Oryzias latipes: one gene and its partner. The protein of the gene in region 1 binds, or shares a complex with, the protein of each later gene. Links are inferred from orthologs where the notes say so. Each region holds a gene or a part of one and is shown on either strand. Other genes may lie near its edges.

Region 1 (6,175 bases):
CCAACTTCTGCAGCGTGAGGGGAAGGACAGGAGGCCTCACAAGCAAAAAGGAGTTAAAACAACCATTACAAACAGACCAAAACTAGCAAAACTAGCAAAACTGATCAACCTGACGTTGAAAAACAAAGATGAGGCTGAAGATCCAAAGAAAACGAGATGCAAACTCCAAACAGGAAATCCTTCTAGTGGCAGGAAGTTTTTTTTTTTTTTAATGCAACACTCATGCATATATTTAATCTACATTTATAAAACTAAAATCTAATCTTGATTATTTAGACCAAGTTAAACTTTATTTAAAAAAATGTTTTCTTTTTTTTAATGTTTTCACCTGTTTATTTATTTTTATGAATGAAACTTCTATCTTTGTTCAGTTTATATGACTAGTTATGTGAAAAACAAACGTCATCAATTAATGTTCCTGTTTTGGGATCAATAAAGTTTTTTTTTTCCCTATTCTAAACCGTTTCTTCTTTTTAAATAATGTTTTTTATGGAAATTTGCTCATGTGTCGGGTTGAGATGTGATTCAAAACATGAATTTGTCAATCAAAATGAACTGATTTAGTACTTTATGGCAAAAAAGAATTAAGACGACAGACTGAGCTTCAATCAAATGGGCAAAAACAGAGATGAAGCCATGATTATCACTTTAATTGAACCGTCTCCACAGGATGTTGAGTCAACCCGGAAGTTCCCTCTGCTCTGGCAGCAAGAGCGGGAGCTCTGGAAGCTAATCACAAAAACAACAACACACATCTCACATTTACAGCTAAAACCTTTTTCTGGCTCAACAACCCACCTGTCACCCTCTTAGCTTTGTTGTCAAGAATCCAGAAGATTTCACGTTTCCTGAAGCCTTAGGGAATCGAACCACGTCCGCCCCGCCCGCTGTGATCGTTAGCTAAATCCCCGCTAACGCGTGTACTCAATGGCTTCTTCCTGGTTTCTGGTCTCCGTTTAATTAACAAGGTAATTTGCTAGCTAGTTCTTCGACTTAAACTTTAATAAGTCACTGTATTTTATGTTTTCTTGAAGGGTCTCATCCAGAAATCTCTGCGGGAGGAATAAAAACGCACCCATACCCAACCAGGAAGTTTGATTACCCCTAGTAGATTCGCCCTGGGTATGGTCTGTCAGGAGAGAACCCGGGAAGGACTTCCTGTAAACTGACCAATCAGATTATGGTCTAAAATTAAATCCACCCCTTTGGCCAAAACGCAGGGCAATTTTTCTTCCATTTAAAATCATTTTATTTTTTTTACAAGTACTTCCAAAAAACACCCAAATAATCATATTTCTGACAATACATACTACAATACAATGCAATCAAACCACAATTTACAGATCTGAAAATTAATGATATTCCCCTAAAAGATGAAAAAAAAATGCACCAATAAATTAGTAACTCTAACCTTTAAACAAATAACTTTCTGCAACTTTAGTATAAACAATAGACGGGACTTAGAAACCACCCTAATGAACACATTTTTTTCTTTATACACAAAGTACCCACTTCCACCTAAAATGAAAGAAACGCATTTTAAAATAATATCTCAAATTTACCCTGTTGGAGATTTTTTTACATAAAAGATTCAAATTTCAATCGGAGCCATGCCTATTCTGTTAATCTGAAACTGAAACGTTAGAACATCTCTGTTACAGTTACAGATAAAAATATTTTGGACTGATATTCACAATTGGTTGTCACTCAAAGTTTTAAATATTCCCTTTTTTCCTTATCTGTTGTTATTTTCTATATGGAAAATATGGACCCAGGAATTTCTGATGTCATTAATGTTGTTATTATTTAATGCAAAAATTTCATTCATTTATGTAAATGGAAAACTACATGCCCTTTGTTTGGTATTTTTTGAATTACTTTTCTGATTATTATAAGTGTCTTAAATGCATTCCAAACAAAAACAAGAAAACTACAGTAATTTATCAAAATATATCAAACGTACTGTTATTTTGAATTGTTTTTTGCCTTGCCTTTATCATATTTTTTAAATTTTGTTTTGTTTTTTCAATATGCGCATTTATAACGATTGTTCACCCTAACTTGTTTTGTATATGTGCATTTATAAATATAAAAAAATCTGAATATAATTAAATAGAAATATATTTTAAAACTGTCTATATACTCTTTATGATATGGACAAACATAGCACAAGCATCTACATTCCTACACAGAAGAAAAAAAAGATTACTCTCAAAAATGTATTATTATTGTCATTATTTTATTATTATTATTGTTTTTGTATTATTATTATTATTATTATTATTATTATTATTATTATTATTATTATTATTATTATTATTATTATTATTAAATTTTGTGATGTTGAACAGCAGCTCCCACTTCTTCCAGGTGGTGGCGACATAGTTCCTTCATCGAGAAAACTGTAGAAGAAGAGCCTCCCGGCACCGTTTCTTCTTCTTCTGTTTGTTGAGTTAACATGGCAACAGTTAAAGTTAGCGAGGCTGAAAAGGTGTACATTCTACACGGAATAAGAGTGAGTTGTTCTAGAAATGTGTGCTCTATTAAGCTAAATGTCTGTGAAGTTGTCACACCAACCTAAAGATGTGGATGTTTGTATTCTCCTCAGGATGATTTACGTGTGGATGGAAGAAGCTGTGAGGACTACCGACACATGGAAGTGGAGACGGATGTGGTCTCAAACACTGATGGATCTGCCAGAGTCTCCCTGGTAAAATCAACATTTACGTGTGAAAGATCCGCAGAAACAGTGTCTTTATTTTCCTTCCATCGTGCTTCTCAGGGACACACCGCCGTCCTGGTTGGGATTAAAGCAGAAATAGGAAAACCAAGACCACTGGTTCCAGATGAAGGATACCTGGAGTTCTTTGTTGATTGGTAGGTTTAGTGTGCATTTAAAGCAGGTTTGGACATCAAAATGTGCACAATTTGACATTTGACAGAATTGTATTGCATCAAAACAGTAAAGAAAAACATTGAATAGCCTCTATAGTTTATTAAAATGAATAATGTTTGCATTTTTGGCTTGATATAAATATTAGAAATACCTGAACCCTAAACCGTTACATATTTGATTTCTTTTTGGCTAAGTTGGGAAGTCTCTCTTGATGTTTTTGTTGAGATCATTACATGTTCTAAAGCTTATAATGCATGTTTAAATATTTTTTGTGTTTGTTTTTGAAGTTTGAAGGATGTCTTTGTCCTGCGAAGCATTTTAAAGTAATGAGGATGTTTTAAAAATAAAGTTTATTTTGGATATCTGTTTTTGTTTAAATCATCTTGCAGGATAATAAACTCCTAAACTAATAACTGCTGGGATTAACTGTTGCACCATTGACTCAGTTTTCCCCACTTCTCTCCGCTTTCTTCTGATTCTGTAACTCCTCATTCCGATTGGCTGAACTCACCTGATCCAGGTATTCAGCTTTAAGACGTAGAGGGTGTTCATGAGGACCATGCCGGGCTGTTCTGGTTTAAGAATCGGAACCAAACTGAGTTATTGTCAATGTTTGATGTTTTTTTTTGATTCCCTGACATTTTTTTCCCCAACACCCCCAGCTCTGCCAACGCCACCCCCGAGTTTGAAGGCAGAGGAGGTGAGGAGCTAGGGATCGAGCTGAGCAACACTCTCTACAGAGTCTTCAACAACAAGAACAGCATAGACCTGAAGGGCCTCTGCATCAGTGCTGGGGAGCACTGCTGGGTTCTCTATGTAGATGTCCTGGTGAGTCTCTTTAACATAAAAATATAAACACAACATAAAAATGTTAAAAATAAAACAATAAACACAACAACAATAGACGTAAATTCAGTAATAATGCTAAATCTTATGATTTTTAAGTTTTTTAGAATTTTGGGTAAAAAATTGGGTTAAAAAAACAGGTTGAAGTAGACATTTACATGTTTTTTGTTTGTTTAGGAAAAACTTGTTGCTGCATTTAGATTTTTTTTTTAAATAAAGTTAAGCAAGTGTTTTGTTTACCTTGTATGCATTAAAAATGAAATGCTGAAGTATGTCTGCTGTGCTGCTGAGGGGTAGCAGATGGGGTCAAATCAGGTTAAAATTAAGAAAAAATAAGGTTGTAAACTTGAAAAAAGAAAAAGAAGAATGTTTTGAAATGGTGTTAAACTTGAAATTATACATTCTAAACTTGAAGAAATACAGAAAATTGGATACAAAGATTGTAGATTTAAAACTTAAACTAAAAAAACTATAAACTTACAAATGTTACCAAATAAAAAATGATCTTCATTTGTAGCAGCTGCCGTTTTATATAGTGAAGTTTTGGTTTTTTCGTTTGTTTAACTAACAAAAACATACCAGTTTCTAATAAACATTAATTTTATTTCATTTTCACTGTAGGTTTATAGTTTTTTTATTCTAGTTTCATAATTATATGCTGTTGTTTTTTTTTCTTTCTAATTTTAAGCGTCATTTCTTCATAGTTGGGTAAAATAATTAAGAGACACTGATGTAACTCCATAGTAGCACTTCAACTTGTGAAAGTATCAAGAAATATGTATTTTATTTTATTTTTTGTTCCTTAAACCCCAAATAGTCATACCGGCCTGCAGTGGATGCAGTTTGTTTTTCATGGAGGAGGTTTGTCGGACTCAAGAAACACTAAATGAGTTGAAAGGCAGCTGATGTGTAATGAGGAAGTGAGGTCTACTTAGTCAGTCAGCCAGTTAGAAGAAATGCGGCCTGAGAAGGGGCGGAGCTTCACCTCAAAGGCCTCAAATGATTTGTAAAAACCACCACTTCATAAAGGCGTTTGCATCGTCTTGTTTGCAGCTGCTGCAGTGTGACGGCAACCTGTACGACGCCATCTCTGTCGCCATCAAAGCGGCACTCTTCAACACAAAGTGTGTATCAGTTTTTCACATTTCGTCGTGTTTGGAGACGTTTTCAGCTCATCCTGTGCTCCCATCATTTCTCCCCCAGAATCCCTAGAGTCCACATGTCGTCGGACGATGAAGGCGGGAAGGAGGTGGAGCTTTCAGACGACCCGTTTGACTGCGTGAGGCTGAGCGTGGAAAATGTTCCCTGCATCGTGACGCTGTGTAAGGTGAGCCGCTGCTCGCAGGTGAAGTCCGTGGTCGTAAACGCGACGGTTTGTGAAGAGTGGCTGTCGTTGAGCAGGTGGGCCACAGACACGTAGTGGACGCGACTCTGCAGGAGAAGGCGTGCTCGGTGGCGAGCCTCATCATCGCCGTCACGCACAGGGGCACGGTGACTTGCGTCAAAAAGGTGGGCGGCGGGAGCCTGGATCCAGAGAGCATCTTCGAAATGACAGAGGTGAGAGTAGACGACCTTTCAACGACCCTGACCTTTCAGAATAAAGTTAATGTTCTTTTGTTTGTGCAGGCGGGCAAACGAGTCGGGAAAGCTCTTCACGCTCCACTCATGAAGCTGCTGCAGCAGGAAGAGAGTCTGGGAAAGAAGAGAGAAAAAGTTGGCTTTCTTGGCTGAAATAAACTTTACTGTGTACTTTCATTTTTTTTTTACATAAAGCACATTTAACATTTTCTATAAATCTTAGTCTAAGTGTATTTTTCCTTCAAAAGAAGACTATCATCCAGTCTGTGCTTCAGCTGTCCCAGACCTGCTCTATGGGCTTCAGGTCAGGGGTCATTGCTGACCACACCATATGAAGCCACACCTACTTCCCGAGGTCCAGCTTCTGGCACCATGTGGTGGAACATTATCATCTATTACCACAGGAAGTGGGTGATGATGGTTCTATGATGTCTCTGAGGTAAGAACGGGACTGGACCATCAAATGGGTTTGCCGCCACCAGACTGTTGCTCCGCCTCCACCAAAGTCAACCCTGGGGACCGTGTTGACCTCAGCGTTTCGCTCACCTCGCCTTCTCCAGCAACGAGGTGACCCGACACTCATCAGCGAGCCGAATGGTAGACCATTGCTGCATTGTCCAGGTCACGTGGCCTTGTACCGCAAACGTTCACGGCTGTGTTTTGGTGTCATTTGAGTCATTGTTAGCGGTCGTCTGTCATTCCGGTCCAAGTGGTGGAGTCAAAAGGCTTGTCTGGAAACCCCAGAACCCCTCACGTCTGGTACACGGGCCTGCAGCTGTGTGGCGTTTGCTAAACCATGTCTGAGGTCAGAGGTCATTAGGTTCTGGTCATGGTGGTGGTCAGTCACTGGCTCCA
Region 2 (5,784 bases), on another chromosome or scaffold:
AAAACACAATTTTTATTAGAGTGGGCCGTTAGCGAAAGCATTAAAAGTCCTGTTGTGCTGCAGGTTCTTTGAGGTTTTGTGTAGAAGTAAGTCTAAATCTGCCTCCTCCTGCAGGTGGAAGCCCCTTTCATACCAAAGTGCAGAGGTCCCGGAGACACCAGCAACTTTGACGACTACGAAGAGGAGGAGATCCGCGTTTCTCTAACAGAAAAGTGCGCCAAGGAGTTTGCGGAGTTTTAGAAGGCGAGAAAGTGGATATATCAGGGAAATGAAGTGGGATCTTTGCACTCTTCAAAAAGACTTGGGATGGAGCAAAGACGGTGTTTTTTTCAAATCTACGTAGTCCCTTCATTCCACGAAGGCCACATATGGCTGAATGAGGTCAACACAATCCTCAGGTGCCCATAACCTCTCACTGTCTCATACACCTGGGTATTAAAGCAGACACATCACTCTTTTCTTTTTGAATGCATACTTTTTTCTTTTTTTTTTTTTTTACTTTGGTCTCTTTTTAACCCCAGTTTGACATACGTTGACTTTCAGGAAAAGCGGCGGCCAATTACGCTCGCCACTGACCTTCCTGTGGCTGTTTGTGTCTTCCCTCCCACCATCAGCAGTGTGTAACTAAAAGTCCACATCAGAGGTACTTCTGTGGTTTGTACGTCAGTTGAAAGACGTCCGAACACGTGCGGCGTTTAAAGCATGACCAAATAGGAAACAAAATCGGAGTCACACAAGAAAGAGAGGCCATTTCCTTTCTTTGCTTTGCCTTAGAGAGTCACGTCCTCAGACTCCTCCCCCCTCCATTCGCTCTCCGCTCCACCATCCCACCCCGGCACAGCACGCTACTGCAGAAAATGACAAACCTTGCATTTGTAGAGCAAAGGTTCACTTGTTTGTGTGATCCCTTTGGGTCTTAGTTCCACGTAAACGTCATCATTTGCTATATTGTTTTTTTGTTTTTTCTTCTTTGTCACTGTTTTTAATATGTAATCCCTAGGTTTCAGGTCTGCTTTAGACCCTTTGTTACGAGTCTGTGTGGAACAGTGAGACTTCTGTAAATGGAAAAGAATGAAAGGCGATTTTTATTGAGTGTTTTTGTAAAGTTGCAACAACCCGTGTGAACAGTGTTTGGGTTTTGTACCTCAACACTATTAGCTCTAACGAGAAAACGTAATCCACAATGAGAAATGTTTCAAAAAAAAAAAAACCCAAGAAGCAGGATGGCAAAAATAATAAATATACCATCTCCTGTCTTTTACCGCCCCTGAAGTTTTTCATTCTTATCAAAGAATGTAGATTTGCAACTTCTAGTTATGTGTTTGAAAGCTTGAATTCAAGGTAAAAACTTTTCCTCACGATGCACTGGCTAAACGAAAGACCGCTCCGTCATATCACATATAATCTTGTTATTGTTGAGCTCATTGCATTATACGTATATGCATTGTTTCATATATGTTTTTATTTATACACATTAGAGATGCTAATAAATTTTATTTTTAAAACTCTTGAGGTTTGAGTTGTACTCCTTTTCTTAGGCTTCATCTTTTCATCTTCATCTTCATACCTTTATCGATGGAAAGGATTTTGATGTTAAATGCGATATTAAAGCAAATCTAAAGGTAAAAAGACAACAAATGAAGCAACAAACAGAATGAAGAGATGGAAGATGAGGCTGGAATGTCGTCTGAGATCTGATAAAAGCTTTAAAGTGAAATGCTGGCAGGCAGTTTGTGTGACTGAAATATTAACAAAGCAGGCCAAAATGTAGTCAATTTAAACACGTTTTAAAAGGTGAAAAGCTTTACTCTGTAATCAATTTAAAAACACACAAAAAACTTATTTTAAATATGGCATTACAAGGTAAGTCTACTTCATATTTGTAAATTATCAAATGCTTTAACACAAATTTTTTTTTAAATATGAAAAAGTGAAAGATGTTGATCTGATTTAAAATGATCACGAACGATTGGCGCTCAAAAATATTAAAATTAAACTAGAAAAATAAATGACAATAGAATTGAATCCTTTTTAACATCAGAAATGAAAATATATCTTCTGTATAATTTACAAAAATGCTAAAACATTTTATTTAAAAAGATTAACACTGGATTTACTTTTTAAAATTTGAAAACCAAGATGTTTTGGAAAAATAAATATACTTTGACTTGGGTTCTGATTTCAGACAGAAGATAAAACAAACTGCAGCGCCTGTAAAACTTGTCAAGATGTCAGGGGCAAAAATTAATAAAATAAAAGAAAATGAGAAAATCTGCAGGTGTCCTTTAAAGAATTCTTATAGTAATTTCAGAAAATGTTGCTGTACTCTAATATCAAAATTCTATATTTAAAGACAGTATTTTAAAATTGACATTCCCAAGAAAAAACAATAGTTATTAAAATCATGATTAATCTTTATCAGATTATGTCAATACTCTGACATTAAATGAAGTGTTTATTGTGTTGAAAATATTTATAAATCTGAATTCCTAAAACTTAAAATGCTTAAAGTCTTATTTTATCTTGTAATTTTAAATTAAAAATCGGAGTCGTGAGATTAAAGTCAGAATTCTTAAATGTAAAAACTGCATGCCGTGTGTAATTTCTCAGCTCCTGATTTTAATTTATTTTATTAATTAGTTTTGACTCGCGTACTAGTAGTTCCGCATTTATCTACTTCTTTTGTTCTGACGTATCAGTTAGATTTAAAAATAATATAAAATAAGAAAAAAGGCTTTCTAAATGTTTCGTTAGGCTACTTTTCCAGTAAGAAGTTGTTACTAAACCATCTAAGTAAAATAAATATGGAAATCTTTTTTGCGACACTTTCTTCCGACGTTGCTGTAACTGCTCGAAGAGGATGATGGTTAATGTAGTACATCAGTAGACACGTGTGTTGTCGTGTAGTTAAGCTAGGGAAAATGGCGGGTCTGGAGCTGCTGTCTGATCAAGGATACCGGTTGGATGGAAGAAAAGCTACCGAGCTGCGCAAAGTCCAGGCCCGCATGGGGGTGTTCGCTCAGGCCGACGGTTCCGCGTATCTGGAGCAAGGAAACACCAAAGCTCTGGCGGTGGTTTACGGCCCGCATGAAGTGAGTGGCGCGCGCGCGTGGAGAAGTGACGTAAAAACAACACCACCAGTCTGTTCATGGCAGCCAAAGAAACGGTGCAAACTGCGTTTAATGAAGGATTAAGATATTTCTATGTAATGTGTCAGATTTAAAGGGATATTTTACATTAATGTAATGATTTTAGTATAATACGTTTCCTTCAAAGCATTTTATTGTATCAGTAACACAAAATGTTTACTTATCTGGCTCGGTCACACAGTACTTACTAACAACTGCATTCAAGAGTTTTTGAACTTGTTATGCTATTCTGAGGTAAACTTACTGCTTTTGAATCTTTGACTTGCTGAGAAATCCAAGTTAATTTGAGGATTTGTTGGTTAATTTATTCATTTACCAAAAGTATTCCAAGCCCCAAATATAACAGCCCCTTACCATGACACCATTACCACCATGTTTGACTGTTTGTGCAATGTTTTACACTAGAGTGATGCGAGGCACATCACCCAAAATGTTTCACGGTTATCTTTTCTGTCCTGAAAGTCTTTCCTAAATCTTGTAGAACATCGATATTTCTGATGGAAAACCTGAGATGTTGTTTTTGCTCATCTGTGCCGTTGACCTCAAACTCTCCCATGTCTGGCGTTTTTATTGTCTGGTTTACCTCTGATGATGGATTAAAAAGCTGTTTTACTCAAAGGACAGATGTATGCCGCCCTGTGAAAAATGTCAGACCTTTTTTATGGTTCTCCTATGCTTACTTCCTGTTTCCCATTCAGATTCGAGGTGCTCGTAGTCGGGCTCTTCATGACAGAGCCATTATCAACTGCCAGTACAGCATGGCCACCTTCAGCACGGCGGAGAGGAAGAGGAGACCGCACGGAGACCGCAAGTCCACAGAAATGAGCCTTCACCTCAAGCAAACGTTTGAAGCTGCCGTGCTGACCCAGCTCTACCCACGCTCCCAGATAGACATCTATGTCAAGGTTGGCCTTAGATTTATAGTATACTGCGCTCTACTTCATAGCATCTGTTTTCGTCATTGTTTTAAGAACGTTTTCATCATTCAAGATTCTTCAGTCCGACGGGGGGAACTACAGCGTTTGTGTGAACGCCGCCACACTGGCAGTGATCGACGCAGGGATACCGATGAGGGACTATGTGTGCGCCTGCACAGTGGGCTTCGTGGATGAAACCTCTCTTGCCGATCTTTGCTACGCAGAGGAGAGCGGAGGAGTGAGCTCTCTGGCTTTGGCGCTTCTGCCCCGCGGAGGGCAGATCGCTCTGGTCCAGATGGATGCCAGACTGCATCAGGATCACCTCGACACTCTGATTGAGGCGGCAATGACCGCTTGTAAAGGTGTGAGCAAAGTCCTGGACCAGGTGGTCAGGCAACATCTCCAAGAAGGTTCTACGCTCAGAGAATAATGGTGAAGGAAAGAGTAAACAAATGGTTTCCTGGGATCAACACTTATTTTGTCGTCATTCTTAACATTTTATTAAGTATATTTGTGCATAAAGAATAAATGTGAATGTATATCGTTTCTTTGTATTTGCATTTGTTTTATTAGCTGAAAACTGACCTGTTTTTGATGCAAAAATCAATGTGATCAACTGAAACAGCAACATCAGCATTTTATATATAAACAGATAATAAAGCTTTGTTTTCAGACTGATACAATAAGAACCTTTATTTTAAACCACACATCCGTAAGAGTAAACAATTTGTGAAAAATTAGATAATTCTTATATCCAATTTATTTAGCTGTGTTGATATCTTACAAATTTTCACCAAAACAATACTTTTTATTCCTGAATGAAATGCTCTGTTCATGTGTTTAGTCTTTTTTTTTTAGATTAATTTTCTTTGATTTGTTTTGCAGACAGGCTATTCTGCTTTTGCTTTTGTTTGTTGTAAAAGTAATTTTTATGTCACAATACAATACATGTTTTGTAAGAGTTTCAGTCCGTTGAGGCTGAATAATCTATCATTTTCTTTACCTGCTGAAACAAAATTGGTATTAATGTAACTTACTTTTTAAAGTAACTTTTCTTACATAAATCTTTATTAGAATTATTGCATATTAAAGTACATTTTCACTGATTATTACAAAAAGATGCGTGACTAAGTTTAAATAATCACATTTTACACCACCTCTGGAATATTTTGATAAATAGAGATGTATTTCATTTTTGACCGGATATGCATTTTTCAGACCGGAAGTTGGTCCACAGAATTAACGTTCCCGCGGGAACAAGGAAACAAAATACTTCAGCAGCCCTGGTGTGGAAGCGTCGCCTCTGCAAGTGTGACTAGGTTTGAGGTACATTTTTTTACGTCTTAAATATATCACATTTATAAACAACGTTTACACTTTTGACGGATGGTATATATTTTTAAATACTAACGATGCTGTTCTGTCGAAGCTAGCAGCATTAAGCTAACCATCATTCATGAAGTTGAATGAAACGACGAGAGTCAGAAGACATTATGTTAATATTTGTAGTTATAATTATTTTTATCACGACCACACCAGCTAAAAAAAAGTCTAAATGATTCTAAAACGGTTGTATTTTTCTCTGCGTGGTGGTACAAGCTCATGGATTCGTCCAAAAATCAGTGCAGGAGTTAGTGAGAGTGAATCCCAACATGCTCCTCTGTCTAAAGTAGCTTTCTTCAATGTCTGGTTCCGAGCTAAAAGTGACGTCTAATGAA

What was found. Proteins that work in one complex are often made in the same cells at the same time.
Region 2: exosc7 (region 1) and exosc4 share a complex: the UniProt entries of both Homo sapiens proteins name them as parts of the RNA exosome core complex. The link is inferred for Oryzias latipes from reciprocal best matches to the Homo sapiens genes EXOSC7 and EXOSC4.

Annotation. Positions count from the first base shown.
Region 1 is NC_019869.2:5,726,889-5,733,063, reverse strand, and holds exosc7 (exosome complex component RRP42), read left to right. Parts: upstream 1-2,376; 5' UTR 2,377-2,458; coding exon 2,459-2,515; intron 2,516-2,608; coding exon 2,609-2,710; intron 2,711-2,782; coding exon 2,783-2,877; intron 2,878-3,558; coding exon 3,559-3,724; intron 3,725-4,795; coding exon 4,796-4,866; intron 4,867-4,945; coding exon 4,946-5,069; intron 5,070-5,143; coding exon 5,144-5,299; intron 5,300-5,368; coding exon 5,369-5,473; 3' UTR 5,474-5,537; downstream 5,538-6,175. UniProt on the Homo sapiens protein: Non-catalytic component of the RNA exosome complex which has 3'->5' exoribonuclease activity and participates in a multitude of cellular RNA processing and degradation events.
Region 2 is NC_019875.2:26,759,316-26,765,099, reverse strand, and holds exosc4 (exosome complex component RRP41), read left to right. Parts: upstream 1-2,857; 5' UTR 2,858-2,921; coding exon 2,922-3,092; intron 3,093-3,847; coding exon 3,848-4,054; intron 4,055-4,139; coding exon 4,140-4,496; 3' UTR 4,497-4,612; downstream 4,613-5,784. Other genes in the region: cAMP-dependent protein kinase catalytic subunit beta, read left to right, coding at 115-240. UniProt on the Homo sapiens protein: Non-catalytic component of the RNA exosome complex which has 3'->5' exoribonuclease activity and participates in a multitude of cellular RNA processing and degradation events.